Linked DNA regions of Tribolium castaneum. The protein of the gene in region 3 purifies or fractionates together with the protein of the main gene of each other region. This does not show direct contact. Links are inferred from orthologs where the notes say so. Each region holds a gene or a part of one and is shown on either strand. Other genes may lie near its edges.

Region 1 (4,105 bases), on a different chromosome or scaffold from region 3:
CGAATTCGCCCCCACTTTTCGTCCCCAATGTGCAGTGTCACCAACCCCAACAACTCGAATTGTTGCACACCGCCGTCACGGCCCATTCGAACGATTAGTTTTTCCTCCAGTCTCAAGTGAACACTGGAAATAATTCAAGTCACTTTCTACTCTATTCTGTTTATTTTCTTACTCATTAATATCGGACTTGATCGCTGGTGTTTTCATTCCCCCTTGTGAAATACTGTTATTAACTGGTGCAATGACATTTTCGCCTTCGGATTTAAGCTGGTCTACGAAAGACTCAACGTCGTGGCCTTTGCCACCCAGTTTCATTCCTCGAGTCGAAGGTTTCCTATTAAATCAATTTAAAAAAAAATTTTTTGGATGTTTTTAACATACTGAGGAGCGGAGGAATAAGCTGGTGGTTTGATATCGTTTGAAATATTGGCAACATCGCCGACTGAAGGGGCTGGAGTATAACCAGATGAGCTACCAAAGCCTCCACTGCTACCAAATGATGGTTTGACGCCCTTTTTGTTGGCTTCCATTCGCTGGCGTTGCAATTCTTTAGCTTTCTCACGCATTTTGTTTTTAGCTTCGCGTTCTTGTGTCTAAAGAGGAGTCAGTTCGTAAATCAGAAATTACATTGGTTTCGAATCTATACAAACAGCATGCCTTAATTCAATTATAGGAAAGGGCTCTAAAAGAAATATTATGCTTTCTATCAAATGTTAGATGTCTCATGTCTTCTGTTTCTATTTTATTCGCCCTAAGACCTCCGTGAGGAGGTTTAAAAGTGCAGAAATATCGGAAATGGCTTTCTATGCCCAAGCTAAACATTCTGTCTGAATAAGATGTTTTTCCTTTCGTGAAACTTTAAATCTTGAATTTATTGTAAATAAAAGCAATTTAAAAATTTAATAACGCTTGTCTTTAAGTTTTCATAGTTTTTAAACCAGTGGATAAATAAGTGGGTCGTAAAAAATTCAAAAACTACACATACAAAAAAATAAACATTTTCTTTAATCACACTGCTAGTAGTTTTTCCAAAAAGTAAATAGTTTAAGCAAAAAAAAACACGTTAGATTTCATTCTCTTTATTCACCTGGTAGGTATATCAACAAGTTATACAAACAATAGCATAGTCTCTTTATGTTGATGTGAAACGGAATATTATTATGGTATTATAAGAACTCTAGATTTTACAGCAATTCTTTTTATGTTCATTATACCATTATTAATTTTCAACATAAAATCCATCAGGGTAACAAAAAAAAATAGTGAGACAGGTATTAGCGATGAATTCGTTCACTTAAACGTTAGAACAGCTGATCAGTGATCACTTACCAAATTAACTGTTAAATTAACTTTTAACAGCAAATTAATTTTTATTTCACCTTCTACTGGGTCACTATGAAATAATGTGTCGAAAAATTTATTATATCTGATTTTATACCTCAAATAAAAATTTAAAATTGGGAGGAATTTTACTTAACATCTTAAAAAATTTATTGGCAATACTGAGTTATTTGCTTTATTACCAAAATTACTTTAAGAGCTGTGACTAACACAAAATCTTTGAAAACTTGTCATTTTGTTTATTTCTTTCAAACCGCTTTCATTTAAGACAGAATCCAAAATCTTACCGGGAAATATACTGAGTTACATGGTTAAAAATTAAAAGTCAGTATTGCCATCTGAAATTACAACTTCTTGGCTTTAATAATTTTTAACCAAAAAATTCCCTTTTTTTGTCACTGATGACAGAATCCAAAACCTTAACCAGAAATATACTTCAGTTACATTGTTTAAAATTAGAATTCAGTATTGCCAACTGGAATTACGACTTTTTGGCATTACAATTTCTAGAACTGTTGTTAATTTATTTTCTGTGAGGCAATCTAATCATGAAATAGCAAATTTGAAATAATAGCCGTGTCCGTTGTTGTACAAACTTTGATAATAAATGATTTTACCAGTTTAGCAATTTTATTACCTGTCTGACGGCCTGATAGACCCGCTCTTCGTGTGAATCCATCTCGACAAATGTGCGAATTTGGCTCAAATTGACGCTTTCCCTGTACCCAAGAGCAACAATCTCATCAAACGCAAAAATGAGGGAAAATGCGTTTTCCGCAATTTCATTTTCTTCCAATGAGCGGCAATATTCGGGAATCTAAAATAATGACAATGTGAGGATGTTTTTGTGGCTTCCATGGGTCTGGACAGCTTACCACTTTCGCAAACAACCTCAGAGTTTCTAAATCTTCCAAAATGTTGCTAGCTCTTGTGGTAATCAGGAGCATGTAAAGGCGCTCAAGTGGCTGATATACATATCGGACCGAGTCGGTCTCTACAAAGGTGTGTTGTGTTCCTGTTGGGATAAGTTTGGGGAAAGCCGCCAGGAGACCCTCAATGCGGGCTTTGGTCATCTCAACAAACTGCCGAGAGACTATGGCTGGAAAGGCAGAGAAAGGTTGCAACACATGGTTCGGTGGTTTATGTGGGGTACTTACTTTTACCGGCCTTAGTGCAGACCGCCGCTGCTATGAGCACCTGAAATCATATGTTATAACGTGAGAAAATGCGTAAAATGGCAACTTGGAAATTTTAAATTGGAATTGTGAAAGGTTGGATTTGTGTGGTGTGTGAAAGATTATCTCACCATTTTAGAGACTGTGAAAGGTCTGTTGCTGTTATGTTCCTAAAAACTAAAATAATATTTTACAAAACATTACACCCTATTAATTTTTTAAGATGACGTTGACTTGTGCTTGCTGTTGAATGAGAAAAACAGTGACGTGACCGTATTCAGTCAGCCAACCTTACGCCGATTCACTGCACCAGCTCTAGGCGCAAAATTCGAAAATGCTCCAGTTTCTACTCATAAGTTACTTAAAATCAAACTAAATAAGTCAATAACTGCTCTATTTTTATATTTTTTGTTGCTTCAGCTATTTAGTAATTTGTTCCTACTAAAATATAGCAATACAGGAATGTGAAAAAAAGCAAAAAAAAACGTAATTATTTTAGAAATAAACCAGATAATAAATTGTATCTAACTAAAAAAAAATATTTTCGGTTTTTTATTATCCACTATGGCCTAAGAATATTTCAGCAAACTAAATTGTCTTAATAGATTATAGTAAATTATGATATTGTAAAGATATGTATCTGAACAAATTGATTGAATATCAAAAAAAAATTGCGGCCTAGAATTACAAGTTATTTTTATTTCTAAGGTGGGTGGTTTGGGTTATTTGAGTATTAAGTATAGCTAGTGCAATAAAAATGATTAAATAAAATATCGTGATTAAATTGCAAGTATTTTGAAAATTTAAATTTTTTTTAATATCAAACATTCCAAAATTTTTATCTTGGCTACCAGATCACGAAAATATAGGCCAGAGTTATTTTTTATTACATTCTGATTAATAAGTAAAAAATTTTAACCATTCTTTGTCTATCATAAAGTCATAAGATAAGGCTATGAAAAAAACATAGTATTTTCCTGTATGCTACTGCAAATGTTAATTAAAGATAGAAAACAATACAAAAATGCCACAGTAAAGTGTCAAATTTCAAAAATTTAAGATTAGAATAATATTAACGTGTGTTAGTCTGACTTTTGTGCGATATATTATATTATTTTCTCATTTTTTAAAGGTAATCAATGGTAATCAAAAAAATTGTAAATGTGAGAAAAATAAACAACAATAATTTTTTATTAACACAATAATTTGTCGGATATTGTTATTCATTCGTTTACTTAATTTTTTACACTTTAGGTACGAGTATTAGCAAGAAGCTTTTAATTACTTTAAGCTGATATAATCAACAAATATAATCAGCCAGCACGATTAACTGTTATTTATTATCTACCTGTAAACCATTATTAATAGTGCGTTTGGTAAATATCTCAAACTAAATAATTACTTTACTTTATTACTCTTCTTTCGATTGGCTCTTGAATTTTCCTTCAGTTTGCACATCTTGTTGAGCAATTATTTGCTGGCATTTTTCTGACGCAAGTGTGTTTCAGTTCGATATTTTCCAATACCCCGATTAGTTTGAAAATTATCGTTTAGGTGGTTACAGTGTATTCAAAAATTTGTACATAGAC
Region 2 (4,158 bases), on a different chromosome or scaffold from region 3:
GTTAAAAGAAAAATAATTATGTTCTTTGTATATCAAACTGAATATTCATTGTTTTCAGCAAAAAAGACATTGGCAAGTTAAAAAACAACTTTATTATAAATAATAGTACTGAAAGCACTTATTACAACAGTGAAAACCGTTCCTCTGTATCTGCTCTCTAACTCAAGTTATTTCGATTTAAGGCTGAAATTATGACGTCATAACCGCTTATCAAGCATTTGGTCCAATATTTAGATCAAATGGTTTTTGACTGTTCACCCAATAAACACGAAACATGTATTGTTAGATGATTTACATAAATCTTTTTTTTAGTCTACAATAACTACAATAATCGCTATTTTTAAAAACTTGGAATCACGTAACAATAATAATGAGACCGAAGTGATATAACAATATCACAATAATCGCCTATAACATGTAAAACATGCGGAATTATCAAAATACAACCACCTCATTCGAAATCATTATGTGCAGGCACGACAACAATTCATAAAGAAAAAATATTTGTCACAATGAATTTTTTATATATTTTGTTTTGTTGAAATTATATTTGTTTCTGTTTTTTATATAAATAATATATTTTAGTTCTACAACATGATATTGTTTAAATGTTTCTTATACCATCCTGAAAGTGAGTGAAATATACCATAGAAATTTCAATGAAATGTTTCTAGTGAATCATATCAAGAAGAAAATATTTGTTGTTTCCCAGACGTTTCATTAACAAACTATGCTCAAAGGTCAAATGTTTCATTTAACAAAACATTGATTTCAGTAATGTTTATGACCTAAAAAATGTTTACTGGGAAGTGACAATGACTAAGTTTATCAAAACATGACAAAAATTCTCAGATGTTTTCGCGAAGTTCACGCCAAAATTTAGAAGAGGAATTAGTCGTAATTGTTGGTTGATTTTCTGGAAAATGGGTGAAAAATGTTCAAATATCTGTCAGGTTTGTGGCGATTGAGAGGATTGTATGATGATAGTCTAAGATCTTTTAGAGAGTCTTTTAAAATACGGCAACTGCTTTATTAATTCAGAAAATAATTTTGAAAACTGAAAAAAAAATCTAATAAAATCTAATCTAGAACTCTAAGAAAAAAATTTCCCATCAACAATTCATTCTTTACTCCCAAGTGTCCACTACATGGCCAAAAGTATTTTATTTTCTCTTTAACACTTAGTGTTGATGAGAAATAATTTTCAAAGAGAACTAGAGGTAATCCGCAGAGAAAATCAATGTACAAAATTGAAGAAACCAGGGAAAATCATTATTAAATCAGAGAAAATCTTGAGTAAATCTGGTGTACAAAATTTGGGGTGCAGTTTATACTTCGATATTACCTAACAAATCATACAACCCAAATTGTTCTTTATAATTTAAATTTTTAATAATATTGTTGATGCAAGTGGCTATAAAAACTTATGGTCTCAACAATATCATGAGTATGTTTAATAATTTCCATACTTAGATGCTTCAAATATTGTGAAACGTAGATCAATGTAAGCAGAGCAGTCTTAAATTATTTCCCATTAGGGCGGAATCTAATAATTTAGAATGAATTTTCAAAGAACTATTATTTAAATCCAGCTAAAATACATAATAAAAATTTGGTATCTCAGAAATTTCTCATTCAAGTCAATACCTAACACTTTATGTTTCCGAAACAATTCTTGTTTGAATGAGTTTCCAGTATTCTCACACAAAATGCTTCATAATGTGGACGATTTTCTTTAATGTTTTTGGTGTTGATTTATTATTTACGTGATTGAAGCATAAGTTTGAAGATTCCATGGAATCTGTTCATATAAAAAGCAATAACCAGAGTGAAACTACAGATTAACACCAAAATTACTCTGTTCTTTACCAATTTCTCAAAGGTGAGACAGTCTTGAGACTTTTGACGAATGTTCAAAATTGCAGCGTGATTTCAGAAAATGTCGGGCCTTACAAAAGTAAAGTGCCTGTTTATATACATTTTCTATACAAATCTAACACATGACGTGAGCTTTAATAAACACCTCTTTTGAGCATACCCTTTAACAATTTTATTTCTTTACAATTAAGCGTAAAATTTGGACAAAAATGCACTTAATAAGCCTTTTTAAGGGTGAGCCTTTCACGTAAGTAATGTGGTATAAGTCCTCTCTGGAGTGTCCAATCTTTACTTGTGACCTGTCAAGGTCTCTAACGCTGCTTGAGCATATCCACTGGCTTTGGTGTTACTAAAAACTCACCGCTCCCTGTGAGGATGTAAGGCTGTGTGGGGTGGATCACAATACACCGCACATAATCCGAATGGGCCTCAAAAGCATGTACACGATCCAGTGTATTATAGTTAAAAACACGAATTTGCATGTCGTCCGAGCCGGCAATCACCCAGTTCTTGCGGGGTACGAATTTTGCGGCACGTACTGGTAAATCACAAACTTCAAAGGTTTTGACTAGTTGTTGATTTTCGTGATTCCAGACGTTTATATTGCCGCTGTATAGCGAGCAGAGCATCCAGGGCTCGGTCGGGTGCAAGTCGACGCATTTTACACGGTCGGAACGCGCCGTAAGTTTGCGTTTGATGTCCAGACGGAGGGGCTATAAAATTTAGGTTAACCAAAAGCGGGGACACCAAACGCAACCCTCTTACCATGGTAAAGGTGTAGATATCAACAATTTACTTTTCTATTGAGGGGTTTGATAGAAAACACGACTTGCCATTTAAAAAACAACCAAAATACGTGGCCCGACAACTTGGCTTGACGTTGACGTTTGGCGAGGTGGATTTGTCCAAAAACTGCGAAAACCCGTCTAACAAATTAGTTTAAATTACTACAACAAAAAAAGCAATTTGTTTTATTTAACAATGGTTTATTAACCTATAGAAATAATTATAAAATAATTAAATAATTATTTTTGACAAAATTGTGCCCTATCTCATTAGTTATAATTTAATTTATTACAATACAAAACTACTTAAACACGGGCATTTTTATTGGTACTAACGACGTCTAGCTGTGCCAAAATTCTGCATTTTAATTTACGTTAATTAACGTTATTTTAGATTTGATGTGGTGATTGTTGTCCCAAATGCGTATTTGAGGCAATGGGGCGACGTTCCTTTGACAGCGCGAGCAATGGCGTCAGTTCGGAATTTGCGTTTTGTGGTGTTGTTGTAGTCTATTATTGTAGATTTTTTAAGTGCAAACCTTAGTCTTAAGTTTAACCAAAAAACCATGTTATTTTGTTCCGAAAAATTGCCAAAAAGCTGCCAAGGTTTCATTTTTACACTTTGCAAAACCTCCTAATTACCCTCTGTTCAGTTTTAATGCAGATGCGTTTAACGTAACAAATAAAGTTTTTTATGGGTAAATTTAAAACCTGCGAAATATGAGTGACGAGGGCAAGGAGTCCCACAAGTCCTTGCCTCTGGATTTGGCCAGGACCCAAATAACCACCGTTCGGACAGTGGAAGGGAAAGCCCCCTTGTTGATGACGAATCAAGGCTTGCGTGGAGTGCGTGTCCTGACTCAGGGAACGCCACCAAACTCGGGCCAGGCTTCTTCCAACGCCCAAACAATAATCACAACTAATATTGTCCCCACCGTGTTTAAGCCAGGTTGGTGTGTCCGAAGCCATGTGATTTGTGTGACTGTGTTTGTTTTTTAGATGCTGCAAGGACTCAAATTGCGAGTATTTTGACGACGAGTCAGCCGCAATCGAGTGCTGCTAACATCACTATTCAAAGACCCACCCAAATCACCCTTTCGACAACTCCGGTGGTACCATGTGGTACTAATTACCATGTCCCACGGGGGCCCGCAGTCGTGGCGAATTTGGCGGCCCCTCGCAGCAACGTGGCGTCGGTGCGCGCCCCCATGGTGGTCACGGCGCAAACAGGCGGCCAGGTGAATAATTACTATATTTTTTATTGTGAAAACTTTTTGACGTCTTTTTACATTTTTTCGAAGTTTTTTTTAGTTTTAGAGCTATTATATCAAATGCTTCCCTACTACGGCGATTTTTTTGGCAAAAAATGAAGCTTTTTATTTATTGTTTTGAAAAACTCAAAAACCTAAAGGAATTTTGAAAAAAATGTTATTGAAAAATGATCACATTTTTAAAGCAGTTAATGATGTAGTAACCACTTTTATCGTATGGTGCA
Region 3 (3,073 bases):
CATTTTCGACCAAATTTGGTGACTGTTGTGTTCTAGTTTAATAAAAATAAGGAAAAAAGATTATTTTCGGTTTAAAATTCTCAAAACTTGCAAAAATAATGTCCTTTTTGACATAATTATGTGGTTTATTGGCTTACTTTTTAAGAAATTTGTTGAAAAAATCACCAATTTGAGTTTTATGGTGTACCAAACATTTAACAATAAATTCAACATTGGAATATTTAAGACGGTTATTGCTTGCAGAAAATGGAAATTAATTGTCTTATAGTTTAAAATGATGCCAAAAACAAAAAAGTAAGTACACATTTTTTCTATTTTGTACTTTGTAGCCGTATTTGGAACTTTCTTTTGCAATAACTGTTGTCACCGAATATTTTAATACTCCTGACTTATTTCAATTTTTTTAGTCATTTTTTTTTAATATCAACGGTTTCGGATTGTTTTGGGAAAAAACGAATTACGTTTATGGAATGTGGATGTATCATTGGGTTTAAATCAATAAAAACTATAATTGATTATGGGCTTTATTTTTCATGTAATACAATTAACTTAAACGTTATATAATTTTTTTACAGCAAATAATAACTTTTTCACACATTTTACGTCGGAATGGTTGAAACTGAAGGACCATACTGTTTACAAATCCTTGAAAATTCACTTTCTTTCTGTTTTAAGTCTCTAATGTATGGATGATCTGGTTGAGCGTCTTTCAACTGAGACAAATACCTACTTGCAATCTAAAACAAAGAAAATAATTAACAAAAAATGTTACAAACAATTTGACAATCAATTACTTCAGGCGTTTTCCCTGTATGTTTATGTAAAACGATAAGATTGATCAAAGTGTCTGGATAATTAGCATCTTTGTCTAAAGCCTCCTGTAGAGCAGCTTCCGCCTCCTCATACTTCCCCTGACCTAGAAGAGCCACAGCTTGGCCATTAAGCAGCAAAGGTGTAGCCCCATATTTTTCAACCAATTCCTGATAGATATAATAGGCGTCTTGCAGCTTTTCCCCACCCTGTAAAAAATATTTAACAACACAAATTAGTGGTTAATTATTAATAATTTTGCGACCTACACTCGCGTTATTGACCCACGCCTGTGCCAACTGCGTTAACGTGGCATCGTCGTCCTTCTCCTGCATTTCCTTCAACTTCTTCCTGGCCAAATCAACGCGATCAATCTTCAGCAAAATATCAATAATAAAAGCCAAAGCCTCCAAGCTTTCAGACGCGTGCAAAACGCGGTATGCCGTCTCTAGATTGTTCTGATTAACGTATATTGTCGCGGCCACAAGTGCAAGAGTGTCACTTTCGACGTTGGAGGCCAGCTTCTGGTCTATTTGGGCGACAATAGACTCGCGTTTTTGTTTGGAGGATAAATATTCAGCCAGGAGTCTTAAGGGCTGGATTTCCTCGGGTGAGGACGGCTTGATTTCGTCCAGCACTACCAGGAATTTGTTCTGGGCCATGTATGAGCGGTAGGTGAAAATGTCGCGTTGGATGGCCACCTCGGGGGTCGAGGGCTGGAAAAAATATTGAGCAAGCTAATTATGGAAAAGTGGTAAAAACCTTGCGCAGTTTTTGTGCCTCATTTATGCACTGCTGATAATTTCCAATGTAGTAGAAGTTTTTTATTTCAAATAATTCGTCGTCGTGTTGCTGACGCGACATCTTGAACGTCAAACTGACAGAAACTTAACCTTAAATGGGAACGAACTGGGCTTTTATGCTGTGTATATTGGCGGCCTTGCTGCTTAATAATTCGGAAATTCGTCAAACAAACGTACACAAAAATAAATTTTTTACTAAACTTAAGCTTCCTCCCAACTTGTGTGTCAATTAAAATAAAAAAACAGTTAAAAAACGTCTGTTTTTAATAAAAAAATCGTCCGTCTGGTGATTTATTTTTCTGACGTTGGTCGTGGTCAATTAAAGTTACTGGTCTTTAGTTTAAAAAAGTCGTGTTTTTGAAGCTTATTTGTTCTTTGTAAGATACAATTTGTTAAGTATAATCTTCACTTTTGAATAATTTTATTGTTTTAGCACAGAATGGCGTCATTCTCTGTGATAAATTTGCAAGGTTACGAAGCCATAATCCACGAGAAACTTTTCGCAAACATTAAGCAATTAACTTATGTTTATCCACCAACCCAAGACTTCCATGAGGTTTTCAGGGAAGATATGTTTAAAAAAAATAACAAGGCAGCCTTCCAACAAGTCACCAACTACCTTTTCAATGTCCTAAGTCCTGAGTTGACCAGAGAAAAGCTCAAATCCTGGCCCCCATACGACACCAAAGGAGAGCGAGAGTTTAGACAAGAGGTGGTGGCATTTGTTGATTACTTGAATGAAAATTACAAAGCGGCGAACATTCCTAAGCTAATGCCATCTCTTTTTGTTTCACCTGGTGGCATAAAGGTGGCCAAATTCATGTTTAAATTGTCGACGTTCGTCTTGCATGAGCATTTAAAAAAGAACATGAAAGAGGGCAAATTATTGTCTCCCATCAGACCTTGTAAAAATCCAGCCGTTAATGCAATAATTATAGAAAACTTGAATAGAACAACGTCAGTTATAAAAAAAAGAACGTCAGAAACTGCCACCAACTTCCACAAATTCTCGGCAGAGGCATTTGCAGAAGCCCAGCGAATTGTGGAGCAAGTGGAGAGGATTAAAAGACAGGAAATGGCCGAAGTCACCAAGGCGTTAGACGAAGAGAAAAAGAAAAATCTCGAATCAATTGATTTGGAAAAGTTGCAAGGAAAAATGGCACAAATGGAAAATATTAAAAGCATGTGTGAGAGAGCAAACGAGCTCCTGGATGTCATAATGAATGATAATCAACTGGAACTTGATAAAGAAAATACTCCCGACTTGGATTTGCTGCAGTTGTTCAATGATTTAAATGAGTTCCTTGAAAAGGAACGTTTCCAAATACCAACTTTGTTACAGGAAGATATGAAAGATATGGTTCAACGCTTGTCAGAGCTCACAGAAAACTACAAACAACTTATCATTAATATGGAGCACGACAAGAAGGAACTCGAAAAATTGGCAGAAAATTCTGTTA

Evidence for each region.
Region 1: the proteins of epsilonCOP (region 3) and deltaCOP purify together in Homo sapiens (affinity purification with mass spectrometry; 4 studies listed by BioGRID and IntAct, with this or other methods). This does not show direct contact. The link is inferred for Tribolium castaneum from reciprocal best matches to the Homo sapiens genes COPE and ARCN1.
Region 2: the proteins of epsilonCOP (region 3) and beta'COP purify together in Homo sapiens (affinity purification with mass spectrometry; 4 studies listed by BioGRID and IntAct, with this or other methods). This does not show direct contact. The link is inferred for Tribolium castaneum from reciprocal best matches to the Homo sapiens genes COPE and COPB2.

What each region holds. Positions count from the first base shown.
Region 1 is NC_087394.1:32,203,085-32,207,189, reverse strand, and holds the start of deltaCOP (coatomer subunit delta), read right to left. Parts: upstream 2,804-4,105; 5' UTR 2,651-2,803; coding exon 2,648-2,650; intron 2,539-2,647; coding exon 2,499-2,538; intron 2,441-2,498; coding exon 2,217-2,440; intron 2,159-2,216; coding exon 1,979-2,158; intron 594-1,978; coding exon 382-593; intron 335-381; coding exon 173-334; intron 124-172; coding exon 1-123. UniProt on the Homo sapiens protein: Component of the coatomer, a cytosolic protein complex that binds to dilysine motifs and reversibly associates with Golgi non-clathrin-coated vesicles, which further mediate biosynthetic protein transport from the ER, via the Golgi up to the trans Golgi network.
Region 2 is NC_087398.1:12,745,886-12,750,043, reverse strand, and holds the start of beta'COP (coatomer subunit beta'), read right to left. Parts: upstream 2,804-4,158; 5' UTR 2,647-2,803; coding exon 2,644-2,646; intron 2,592-2,643; coding exon 2,240-2,591; intron 1-2,239. Other genes in the region: histone deacetylase complex subunit SAP130, read left to right, coding at 3,384-3,612, 3,663-3,901. UniProt on the Homo sapiens protein: The coatomer is a cytosolic protein complex that binds to dilysine motifs and reversibly associates with Golgi non-clathrin-coated vesicles, which further mediate biosynthetic protein transport from the ER, via the Golgi up to the trans Golgi network.
Region 3 is NC_087397.1:2,371,891-2,374,963, forward strand, and holds epsilonCOP (coatomer subunit epsilon), read right to left. Parts: upstream 1,734-3,073; 5' UTR 1,675-1,733; coding exon 1,573-1,674; intron 1,527-1,572; coding exon 1,080-1,526; intron 1,020-1,079; coding exon 795-1,019; intron 738-794; coding exon 600-737; 3' UTR 511-599; downstream 1-510. Other genes in the region: uncharacterized protein LOC103315197, read left to right, coding at 2,053-3,073. UniProt on the Homo sapiens protein: The coatomer is a cytosolic protein complex that binds to dilysine motifs and reversibly associates with Golgi non-clathrin-coated vesicles, which further mediate biosynthetic protein transport from the ER, via the Golgi up to the trans Golgi network.